Linked DNA regions of Oryctolagus cuniculus. The protein of the gene in region 3 purifies or fractionates together with the protein of the main gene of each other region. This does not show direct contact. Links are inferred from orthologs where the notes say so. Each region holds a gene or a part of one and is shown on either strand. Other genes may lie near its edges.

What was found. The genes of interacting proteins can lie anywhere in the genome.
Region 1: the proteins of LRRC59 (region 3) and STAU1 purify together in Homo sapiens (affinity purification with mass spectrometry; 3 studies listed by BioGRID). This does not show direct contact. The link is inferred for Oryctolagus cuniculus from reciprocal best matches to the Homo sapiens genes LRRC59 and STAU1.
Region 2: the proteins of LRRC59 (region 3) and Y-box-binding protein 1 purify together in Homo sapiens (co-immunoprecipitation; 3 studies listed by BioGRID and IntAct, with this or other methods). This does not show direct contact. The link is inferred for Oryctolagus cuniculus from reciprocal best matches to the Homo sapiens genes LRRC59 and YBX1.

The regions. Positions count from the first base shown.
Region 1 is NC_091442.1:11,270,602-11,274,883, reverse strand, and holds the start of STAU1 (double-stranded RNA-binding protein Staufen homolog 1), read right to left. Parts: upstream 2,811-4,282; 5' UTR 2,550-2,810; intron 1-2,549. UniProt on the Homo sapiens protein: Binds double-stranded RNA (regardless of the sequence) and tubulin.
Region 2 is NC_091434.1:59,356,993-59,360,293, forward strand, and holds Y-box-binding protein 1, read right to left. Parts: upstream 2,062-3,301; 5' UTR 2,047-2,061; coding exon 1,033-2,046; 3' UTR 511-1,032; downstream 1-510. UniProt on the Homo sapiens protein: DNA- and RNA-binding protein involved in various processes, such as translational repression, RNA stabilization, mRNA splicing, DNA repair and transcription regulation.
Region 3 is NC_091448.1:26,317,154-26,321,397, forward strand, and holds the start of LRRC59 (leucine-rich repeat-containing protein 59), read right to left. Parts: upstream 2,806-4,244; 5' UTR 2,546-2,805; coding exon 2,441-2,545; intron 873-2,440; coding exon 813-872; intron 1-812.

The DNA.
Region 1 (4,282 bases), on a different chromosome or scaffold from region 3:
ATTTATTTACACAACCAGCTAAAGAAACTTTGGGAAGCTTCATGGTGCATTACTGTGGTTTAACTTTGACACAAAGCTCCTGCCTATTTAAAGGGGCCTAGCAGGTAGGTCTCCACCAACAAAGGGATAGGAAATCTGTCTTTCTGATGGCTCTTCAATTAGTCTTTCATGGCTCAAGAGTTACTTTTGCACACAGAGAAGCAAGGCCACATTTGGGATTTGACTTTGAGAGCGGGACAGCACTGATCAAAACTAGCTCAGCTGCTAGTCTTTTCCCCACTGCACAGTAACCAAGTAATCTGTTCAGAGATGAGAAGCCAAGCAAACAAAATGACAACTGATTCTTTTAAAAGCACATTTTAGGAGCATTCTGGTAAAAGTCAAAATCTCTAACACTGTGATACGATGTTTAAGATTTGCTTCAAAACAATACAGTTTGGGGGAGGAGGTACAAGACTGCTCTTAACTGTAAGTTAATCATTGTCAGAGCTGGGGCTCTCACACTGGAGCCGGGGTTGCCTGCCCCTCGGCCGAGGGCCAAGGAGGCAGCACATGATGGAGCACGCAGTCCCCGACACCCACGTGGCAGCCTGGCCCAGGCCCAGCTGTGCGTGCGGCACCTGCGGAGTGAACCAGCGGATGGAAGCTATTTTTTTAAAAAAAACTGCCGAAGTTGAGCGACAAACACAATACCTAAGTCGTCTAGTCAATTTTCATGTATTTTCCACAGTGAAAAGTTTAAAAACAGCTTTATGTTACCCACTGCAATATTAAAACTTCCCTAGCACAACTTACCACAAGGTAGCAGAAAACATGCTTTTTACTGTTTGCAGAGTTGTCTGTTTAGCTGTTTTTAAAACGTCAAATTTTAAATCAGAAGCAATGTGACACTGTGTCAGAAAATTCTAGAAAAACCTAACAAGGAAGCCACTTTGCATTGAGAGATGTAAATCAAAACATTTTCATTTCTCTAAGGAAACGGACTAAGACAAGCCGAGGTCTAGGCGGACGTCTGCGGCGCGCACACTCCGTTTTCTCTGTCCTAACTCGAAGCTGAGCACCTCGGCGGCCGCAGCTCCCCAAGGACCGGCACAGCCGCACCACGCAGCCCAGCATTAGCAGAACTCGGTGCGCCCGTCCCCAGACGGCCAAACCGCTGCCTCCACACCCCGGCTGTATTTTTAGTTTCTGCTTCAACAAGTAGCAACGTAAGCAGAGGTCCCTTCCTGCAAAACCGTACTTCGACTCCGTCCGCCCGCTTCTAAACAAAAACACGCGCAGCACGGCAGCGCGACCCCAAAGCCCTCCGCACGGCCAGAGAACAGGGGCAGGCGGCTGGGACGCGCATCTGCGCGCGAACAGCCGAGAGCCTGCACCCACGCCGACGCGGCAAGGCAGGGGCACGGCCCCGACCCCGAGGACAGGCACGCTCGCCCAGCGCCGTCCGTCCACCGCCCTCGGCCCCGAGGACAGGCACGCTCGCCCAGCGCCGTCTGTCCACCGCCCGCGGCCCCGGCCCCGAGGACAGGCACGCTCGCCCAGCGCCGTCCGTCCACCGCCCCCGGCCCCGGCCCGAGGACAGGCACGCTCGCCCAGCGCCGTCCGTCCACCGCCCCCGGCCCCGACCCCGGCCCGAGGACAGGCACGCTCGCCCAGCGCCGTCCGTCCACCGCCCCCGGCCCCGGCCCGAGGACAGGCACGCTCGCCCAGCGCCGTCCGTCCACCGCCCCCGGCCCCGGCCCCGGCCCGAGGACAAGCACGTCGCCCGGCGCAGGGGCAGCGGCTGCCAGCAACTTTCCTAGAGGCGGGACGACCACGGGGAAGGCGGACCCGCGGCTGGCGCGCAGGGGGTCCGGCCCGGGCTCGCCCCCTTCCAGCCCTGAGCCCAAAACAATGCCCCCGGCGCCGGCGGGGGCCACGCCGAACACCGCTGCCTCCCCCACTCGCGCACGGGCAGCGAGGCAGCTAGGTAGGTCAACTTCTGTCCACTCGCCCCACTAAATTACACCTTCCTATCACGCCAATCAATCATGCAGGCGGTTTATTGGGGACACGCTGTGGGTCTGGCGCTCCGATAAGCGCTTCACACGCCCCATTTCCCCGAACCTCCGCAGCCAGAAAGCGGCAGGACGGTCTCGGCGCCCCTCTCCCCAGCCCACACAAAGAGTTGAAGGGGCCGCGCCGGGGCCGGACACCTGGGCCGTGCCCGCCGCACGACGCGGACGCTCCGGACCCCGAGGGCTGGAGAGGGGACACCACCAGCCCGGCAGGAACTTCGCTGTCCCCGCGCGCCCGCCCAGCGCAGGGCGCCAGGCACCTGTTCCCGGCCCCGGCGAGAAAGCGGCGGCGGGGCTGGGGGCGCCGGAGGACCCGCCTCTCCCCCACCCCGGGCAGGCCCCGCGGGCGGGACGCAGGCCCGGGCCGGGGGGAGGAGGCCGGCGCGCGGCCCGCCGAGGCCTAGGCCCCACCCGCCGCCCGCCGCCCGCCGCCCCCCGCCCCGTGGCCGCCGCGCCCGCGCGGGCCCCGCCGCGCTCGGCCGGCCGCCTCACCTGGCTGCTGCCCTCAGCTCGCCCCTCGGCCGGCGGTCCTGGGCGGCGGCGGCGGCAGTGGTGGCGGCGACGAGGGGAAGGAGGAAGGAAGAGGGAGAGGAGGAAGGGACGGCGGGTGGGAAGAGGCGGAGTGGCTGCGGAGGAGGCGGGCGCCGCCGCCGGGCCGGGGGGTCCAAGAAGCGGGGAAGCCGAGAGAAGAAGCGACGGCGGCCGGCGCAAACGCTGAGGAGCCGCTCCGGCGCCCGCAGCCCGGCAGGAAGTGACGGGGGAGGGGCCGGCGCCCGCCCCCGGCCCCCGCCCGCCTCCAGGCCCGGCCCCACCCCCACCCGCGGCCCAAACCACAAGTCCCGGCGGGCGCTGCGGCGGGGCCGGCGCCCGCAAGGCACACCGGGAGCCGGCAGGCGGGGCCTGGTCGCGGCGAGGTGGCCGCCGCCCGCCCTGGGCCAGCGGCCTGCTGGGAGTTGTAGTTCTGCCGGGCCCCGAGCGGGAAGGCGGAGCGCGTGCCTTCTGGCCTCCCGCACTTCCTTCTTCCTTCTCTCAGTCCGTCCTCTCGTCTCGCAGGTGTCGTTCCCTTCGCTCCCGCCCTCAGGGCCTCCTTCCTCCGCCATGTGCGAGGCGCTGCCCCGAGAGCTAAGAACGGAACGGACAAACGCCCGTGCCCTCATGGAGCTTACGTTCCAGTGCGGATAAAAGGCGCGAATAAAATCATTAACTTGCTAGGTGCACTGAAAGGCAAGATAGGGGCCGGCGCCGAGGGGAGCGGTCAGGCACCTGCGATGGCAGACTCTCTCCTTCAAATAAATAAAGCTTAAAAAAACAAACGAAAAGATGATGTGGCTGTGCGCGTTAGGACCCCAGGGCTCCGCCTATCACTTCCAGGCCGACTTTCTTCTGTTTCCGTACACTGACAGCAAGTGCCCACTCTAACAGAAACAGCAGTGTAATTTTAGATGAGAGCCAACTTTTCACGGGGACTTTATGCGCTCTGCCCATTCCTATATAACTTATCTTGCGGGAAGGAGCAGGCAGAATTTGGAGTAACATCTCCAGTGCTCAGTTTCTTATTTCCATCTTCATCCTGAAACAAAGAAAAATAATTCCTTAATTACTTGGCAACAGCCCAGAAGACTTGAGGCCTTTGGGAAAAAAGATGTGACTGCCAGTCCCTAAGTACAAAAAGAAAAACACGTCTAAGGCTCCCCTCCCACACCCAGCAGCCCCACGACGAACCTGTGCCTTGGTTAACACAGTGGTCCTCAAATGAGCGCTGTGGAGTGACTGTTCGCGCTGTTTTCCTCTTCTTCCTCTCTGTCTTTGGTTTTGTTAGTTTTTAACGGCTGAACAATTTCAACACATAGTAACCTGGCTTTGTGACCTCTCTCCAAAAATGAGGTGGCCAGGCAGCATCGGAGAGCAACAGTCCAGCCACACTTGGGCTCCCACAGCCCACATCAGGGGGCCTGGGTTCGAGTCAGCTCTGCTCCTGCTCTACCTCCCAGCTAACGCACCGCGGGTCATAGCTCCAGCACCTGCGTCTTTACCACCCAGCTGGGAAACCCAGGTGGACTTCCTGGTTCCCGGCTTCAGCCTGGCTGTTGTGGGCATTTGTGGAGTAAACCAGCAAAAGAAGAATCTCTCTCTCCCTCTCCCTCTCTCTCTCTCTCTCTCTCTCTTTCTCTCTCTCTCTTCCTCGATAAAATGAAAACAAAAACATTTTTAAATTTTGGGGGATG
Region 2 (3,301 bases), on a different chromosome or scaffold from region 3:
TATGAAGTTCAACACAGAGATAAATGTTCTTAGGGAGTAGTGTCACACTCCATGGCTGCAATTTCATAAATCTAGGTTGATCCTGACTCACTAGTGGACCTCAGAACTCTACAAAAACCGGGTCACTGTGAGCTTGATTCTAGGTTCAAGGTCTCTGCGAGGGATCTTTATTCCTTCTTCAAAATCCTACAAAAGCTCTACACAAGTCCTTTTAATAACTGCAGCAGAAAAATATAGCCCAACTGACATATTAGCAAGCATAACTTAGAGGAAAAGTTACTCTTTAATCCCTAATAATTATGATACACTTACTATTCACAATTCTTACACATGACATCACAATGAAATATGTATTATCATCATTCCAACTTTACAAATGGGGAATCTGAAACAAGGACACAAACATCACACTACCAAGAGTGGGAGGAAGGGTTCAAACTCATACCCTCAACTACCACCCTGTGCTTCTGTACAAAGGATCTTCAAAAAGTTCATGGATAATGTGTATTATTTTTTTTTTATTTAAGACCTTTATTAGCAGGTGCTTGCAGTTTGTTGACTTTTTTGAAAAAATCAAGTTGTAAACTTTTATTACAAATTAAAAATGAAGTTCTTAAAAATCTCAACTTGACCAGATATGAAACAATTTAAAAACCTTTAAAGGTGTATTGAGAAAAACCAGGCTTTTTTAAAAAACACGTTTGTCGTTACCAAAAAGAGACATCTTTAGGTAAAAATAATAAAAACCCCATGCTGCATAGATAATGCAGATAGTTCTAGTAATCTGGTCAATGGGCAAAAAGCAAGCACTTAAGGTCTTCAGCTCCAATCTTTTGTTCATTTCTTATTGCTGGAATTTCATATTCATTTCTTCTTGTTGGATGACTAAACCGGATGATGGTAGAGATGTTAAGCCGGCATTTACTCAGCCCCGCCCTGCTCAGCCTCGGGAGCGGACGAATTCTCAGCTGGTGGATCGGCTGCTTTTGTCTCTTTGCCATCTTGTGGTTTAGGGTTATCTGGGCGTCTGCGTCAGTAGTTGAAGTTGCGGCGGTACCAACGCTGAGGTGGCTGCTGACCCTGGGTCTCATCTCCTTGGTTTTCCTTGTCTTCTTCATTGCCGTCCTCTCTAGGCTGTCTTTGGCGAGGAGGACCTCTGCGGAATCGTGGTCTATAACCCCGATACATATTCTGTCTCACTGGTCTACCTTGTTCTCCTGCACCCTGGTTGTCAGCACCTTCCATCACTTCTCCCTGCACAGGAGGGTTGGAATACTGTGGTCGACGCCCATAGGGTCTCCGCATGTAGTAAGGTGGGAACCTTCGCCTGCGGTAGGGCCGGCGTTGTTGGGCCTGGCCTTCGGGAGCGCTCTCCGATCCCTCATTCTTTTCCCCACTCTCACTATTCTGGTAATTCTGCTGGTAATTGCGTGGAGGACCCCTACGACATGGGTAGCGTCTATAATGGTTACGGTCTGCTGCATATTTACTGCCTTGCACTGGAACTCCACCAGGACCTGTAACATTTGCTGCCTCCGCACCCTTTTCTCCTTCAACAACATCAAACTCCACAGTCTCTCCATCTCCTACACTGCGAAGGTACTTCCTGGGGTTATTCTTCTTTATGGCAGTCTGGTGTACAAATACATCTTCCTTGGTGTCATTCCTGTTGATGAAACCATATCCGTTTCTTACATTGAACCATTTTACTGTTCCCAAAACCTTCGTTGCGATGACCTTCTTGTCCCCGCCGGCGGGCGCCGCCAATGTGAGGCTGCCCAGGCCACCGCTCCCTGCGCCGCTGCCCGTGGTGCCGGGCTTGGTTTCCACGGCGCTGAGGGCGGGGGCGGCGGGCGGCTGCTGGGTCTCGGCCTCGCTGCTCATAGTTGCGGTGATGGTGACTGGGGCCGGCTGCGGCAGCTGAGGCTCCTCCCGGGGTGTGATGGTAACTAGGCCGGCGGTGGCGGTGGGGCTGCTCAGGGCTCTCTGGGGTCCGCTCTCCGCTCCCGCTACCGATCGAACTATGTGTATTATTTTTAAAAACATGCATTTCAAACATGTTTGTACCCAGATACTTCTCTTTAAATTCCACTTTCCATGAACTTTGAGGTTGCCTCATACAATGATTTATCTTTAGTGCTCTTCCATTTTAAGTATCAAAATATCAGCATTATTAATAATCCTACACAACATTAATTCTATTTCTAAATAATCTACTACTGTTTCAGCCTACTGTCGCTCCCCCTCTTCATGGAGGAACGACACTAAACCCTGCCTAGGCTTCATATCCGAGTCACGGCACCATTATGTCGCTCCCCGTCTTCGTGGAGGAACGACACTAGACCCTGCGCTGTTCTTTTGTCTGCTCGGCCCTCCCCGGGTTTGCTGCTGGTTCTTCCCAGGTTGGCTACCGTCCCTCCCACCTCCGTGGAAGGGCGGTTCCCCCTGCCACTTTCCCCACTTCCGCGGGGGAGCAGCACACCGCCAGCCGGCTCTCTCGGGGGCTGCACAGGTGTTCCTCTTAGATGTTCCTGGTGCATGTTGTCTCTCTCCTCCTTTATAGTCCTCTTCCACCAATCCCAACTCTGCTACCCACACGCCGAGTATGCTGCTCTCCTCCAATCAGGAGCAGGTCCTGCTGTTTATTGGTTGAACTGGAGGCAGCTGAGTAGAAGCTGTTTACTCCTCTCCCAGCGCCATATTGTGGGAGAGCAGATGCATAGAATAAGTCTTAATTCCAGTAACAGTCTAGTCTGAGTTGCTCCCCACAGATCCCCCTTTCTTTTTATTTTTTGGCGTTGATACGCGCCTGTCTTCGGTGCCCCGTGGCACACACTCTGCTCTGCTTGCTGGAGTTGCCCACAGGTTCTTACAAGTCCTATCAATCAGGCAAACCGAATCCGGGTCCTCTCTTCGCCATGTTGTGAGGTTTTTAGGCGCTGATGCGTGCCTGTGTTCGGTGCCCTGCAGCGCATGCTCTGCTCTGCTAGAACTGCCTGCAGGTGCTTACAAGCCCTACCAATCAGGCAAACCGAATCCAAGCCCTATCATCGCCGTCTTGTGGGGAGACTTATTGGTGTTGATAACGTGCCTGTCTTCGGTGACATGCAGCCGCTCACAGGTGCTTATCGTCTTACTAATCAGGCAGACCGAATCCAAGCTCTCTCATTGCCGTGTTGTGGGGAGGCCTTTCTATTTCTCTATCTCCAGGCATTCCTATTTCTCCTATTTTACTTCTATCTGCCAGCATTCCTATTTCTCTCATTTTACTTCTATACTTCTATTTCTCTTATCCCTGCGG
Region 3 (4,244 bases):
CCAAGCACTTGGGCCATCCTCCACTGCACTCTCTGGCCATAGCAGAGAGCTGGCCTGGAAGAGGGGCAACTGGGACAGAATCCGGTGCCCCAACCGGGACTAGAACCCGGTGTGCCAGTGCCGCAAGGTGGAGGATTAGCCTGTTGATCTGCGGCGCCAGCCGAAATCTAACTCTTTTAAATAAAATAAATCTTGGGGCAGGTGCTGTGGCACAGTGGGTTAGTGCCCTGGCCTGAAGCACAAGCATCCCATATGGGCGCCAGTTCAAGACCTAGCTGCTCTACTTCCAATCCAGCTCTCTGCTATGGCCTGGGAAAGCAGTACAAGATGGCCCAAGTCCTTGGGCCCCTGCACCCACGTGGGAGACTCGGAAGAAGCTCCTGGCTCCTGATCGCGCAGCTCTGGCCATTGTGGCCAACTGGGGAGTGACCTATTAGATGGAAGACCTCTCTCTCTCTCTCTCTGTGCCTCTCCTTCTCTCTGTGTAACTCTGACTTTCAAATAAATAAATAAATCTTTAAAAAAAAAATCTTAAAAAAAAAAAGATGAGTCCAGTGATTCAGCCAGCCTCCTGTTGCCTTTAGTTCTCTGTGCCCTGACTTTTCCACTGTTCTAAAGAATGAGGCCTCAAGTCTCTTCCAGTGGAAACCAACCTCCCAAATGCACACCCCAACACACACTCAGATTCAGCTGTCGCCTTCCTGCAAGACCTATACTGGAACTATGTCTTATGAATCCCCCCACAACCCCGTATGCAGCAGGAAGGCGATGCACCCAGAACTCGGGCCGGCCGAGTCACTTGCCACACTTACCGGCAGGGTACTGAGTTTATTGCAGGACAGATCCAGGACGGTGGCCTTTGGAAGGGCAGCCTAGGAAAGGAGATGAGAAAAACACGTCAAGTCGGCACCTGCCACGGCTCAGGGACACCTGCAAGTGAAGCATTTTCCCAGGAAAGTTCCCACGACTAGGAAAGGATTTTTTTTTTTAATGGCACCGAAGAACAGTGTTGCTGGGGATAAGAGAGGAAAAACTGAGCCAGTTCTAAGGCAGAACAAAAAGAGGGGTTTGGCCACAGAACAGCAGAGAAAGGAAAACCTGGGTGCTCAGAATTCTCTACGGCACCGAAACTCTCAAGCGCCCCTCTTGTGAGGCTGCGGGCAGGGACCGAGTCTCAGAAAGCGCTGCAATTTTCGTACTTCCCACTTCAGGGCCCTCCCGGGAAGCAGGCGCTCAACCGAGAGTGCACGAGGACACGGGAGCCGGCGTGCAAACGGGGCCCTCACGGCCCATCTCCATGTTCCCACGGTGTCTGGGGTGGAAGAGGCCCCGCGCACCTGACCCTTCTTTCGCCCCAGGAGACCGTGATGCACTGACCAGACAAATCAGTTTCCCATAGCAGTCCCGGGGCCAGTCTGGAACAAGGCTGGCCACTAAGGACCCACGGCCGACCTGCCTTTCCAAGTGTCAGAAGGTGAAACGAGACAGTGTTGGCCGCTACAGTGGGAAGAACCACGGTAACAGTCCATCTGTCAGCGCCTGCCACCTTCCAGGCACTTTTAACTGTCACAACCAGCAAATGAGAGATGATCACCATTTCATAAGTGAGGAGATCTAGGCCCAAGAGTTACCCAGCCGCCAAGGGCACTCAGCCAGCAAGCGATGAAGCTGCCATGTGAGCTGGAACCCCATGCTAAGCCCCACACTACATAGCGCCCTGGTGAGGTGAAGACTGGGCCTTGCTAAAGGCAAGGGTCGTCCATCACTCGCAGTAAGGAAGGTGTAGGAAGCTAGCACTCCCGGTGGGGGCGGCTGGGGCCGAGGCTCCAGACCCACGTAGGCAGCGAAGTAGGTAGTAATCGCCCCAGGACGGCAGGCTTCAATTTGTGGGGTAAGAAAGGAGGAAGAGTGGGGGGAGGGGGGTTTCCCGCCAGTTTCGGCGGAGTTGGGATGAGACCTTGCCAGCCTGGCCGGGGAGACTTCACGTTTCTAGTCGCCCGAGGGCTGGGACAGCCAGCTAGGCTGCCAGGTCCCGAGCCACACCCAGGTCTGCCGGGAGGCCTATTTTCCCACACCGACTCATTCATTCATTTTCCAATACAGCCAGCAACCGCTCGGTGGGCTTCGGCTTGGGGTCGGGCACCGGCTGGGGCTATGAAAGTCCCCACCCCCCCACCCCATCACTCATTCTTGGCTGGTGAAGAGCCCAAGGCCAGAAGAGACGGTCTCCCCCATCTTCTGGAGCCGCGCCAAAGTGACACGTGTACATCCCAGGAAGAACACTGCAGCCGGACGTGGCCGCCCCGGGGGCTCAGCCCCCCGCCCCCCGCCTCCCCATGGCTTTAAAGACGGGGAAACCGAGGCACGGGACAGAAGGCGGCCCGCGCGGGGGCCACTGCCAGGCGAAGGGGGCGCCTGCGCCTAGCGGGGCTGTACTGACCAGCTCCTTCACCGGGACCTCATTCAGGTCGCTGAGGCTCAGGTCCAGCTCATTGCCGTCCAATTTGTCGCGGAGATTCCCGCCCTTGTTACCGGCCTTGGTCATGATGACGCCGGCTGAGCGGGCCCGGGTCCGGGCTTCCGACGGGCAGGGAAAAGGAAAAGCCTCTCGAGGGTCCGGCGGACTCGCAGCCAACCGACAACGCCTGCGCCCCCGATCACCGCCGGTGCGAGACCGCCGCCGCCCGTCCGCCCGCCGGCCACACTCGGAGCCCCGCGCCCCGCTCCCACCGGTACCGCCGCGACGACGACCACTTCCGTGTCCACGTCACCTTCCGCGGCCACCGAGACGCGCCGGGCCAGAGCGGCTCGAGGTTGTACGAGTGCGCCCTCTGGTGTCCAGGGGCGTGTAGTGCCGCCGCCGCCGCCGCCACTGGGATCGGGTGCAAAGCTCTTTGAATTCCGCTTCTCTGCGGGAAGCCCTGGTCCCCTTGGCTCCACGCAGAAGATCTGCGTTCGCATCTAAAACTGACTCCGTCAAATCTGACCCCACCCCTTTGAATAAGGAGCAAAAGCTCCCTGTCCTCTTCTTAACCACGCAAAATCACCGCCTTCCGGAAAACTCTACTTCCTGAATTTCTCTTCCCTCTTGTTCCCCATCTATCTTCACCTTCTGAAAATCTGTTCTCCTTCCTGGGCTGGGTGCTGCCTGCTTCTGCGGCCTCCTCCCAAGCTGCAGCCCCTGCCTGGCCTTGGTGCCCATCAGACTTCCGGGGCAGGTGCCCCACGCACCTTTCCCTCTACCCAGCTTCTCTGCCCAGCTAATCCTCAGTCCTGGCAGCCTCCCCTGACCACCCTGAACACCGGGCTAAGTTCGGAGCCCTCCAGGGGCTCTGGCACAGCGCCGTCTGCACTTTTGGGTTAAGTGGGACCCCCGCCCCCGGCACGCTGGGTGTGCCTCCTGGCTCTGCTGTTGCCCTGCCTTGGTCTTATCAGTGGGTCCCTGAAAAATATGAATTAAAATGTTAGCCAGCTGTTGCGCGTGGGCGGTCGAGTGAGTGAAACACGGGAAGAGATTAAGGCAGGAACCAGGAAGCACTCTAATCATCATCCAGAATTTGCCGTCTGCCTCATGTTACACTTTTCTTGGTGGATCCGAATGTGAGGGCGGGGATTGTGCCTTACTCACCTTTGTATCCCCAGAGTCTGAGCCCCGGCGTGAGATTTGCCCATTCGGATGTCTTTGGGAGGAATGAATGAGGCAGCAAACCTCAGCTTGCTCATCTTGAAACGGGCTATTGTCCCAGAGGGGAGCCTTGAAGACCCAGTGAAGTCGGGCAGTACTCCAGTCCTTGGACCAGGACCCACGGTCCCAGCCTCCGCACTGTGCCGGGCTTCTGGGAGACAGGCAAGGACACGTGGATGATGAGACGTTAGCTTTTGGCAATCCCTATGTCCTTTGGCACCCGTTAATTTGCTTTGATGACAAACAGGAGACTGCGAGGCACATTTTATTGTAATGCTCCTCTTATGGAGGAAGAAACCAAGGCCCAGCGAGGCAGAGTAACTTGTCCTCCACCACACAGCTGGTTGAGCACAAGTCCCTTGATTCCAGGTCCTCTTTCTGCTCACTACGCTTTGTTATTGCTACCCCGAAGGACCCTACAGGCCATGCAAATAATTATTATATACCACGTAGGAGGATCTGTGCCCTCACACAGATAAAAACCTGCATTCGAATGCATAGGGCAGTGTGTGTGAGTGGGGTGTGTGTGTGTGTGTGTGTATTGACATCAGAGTAACAG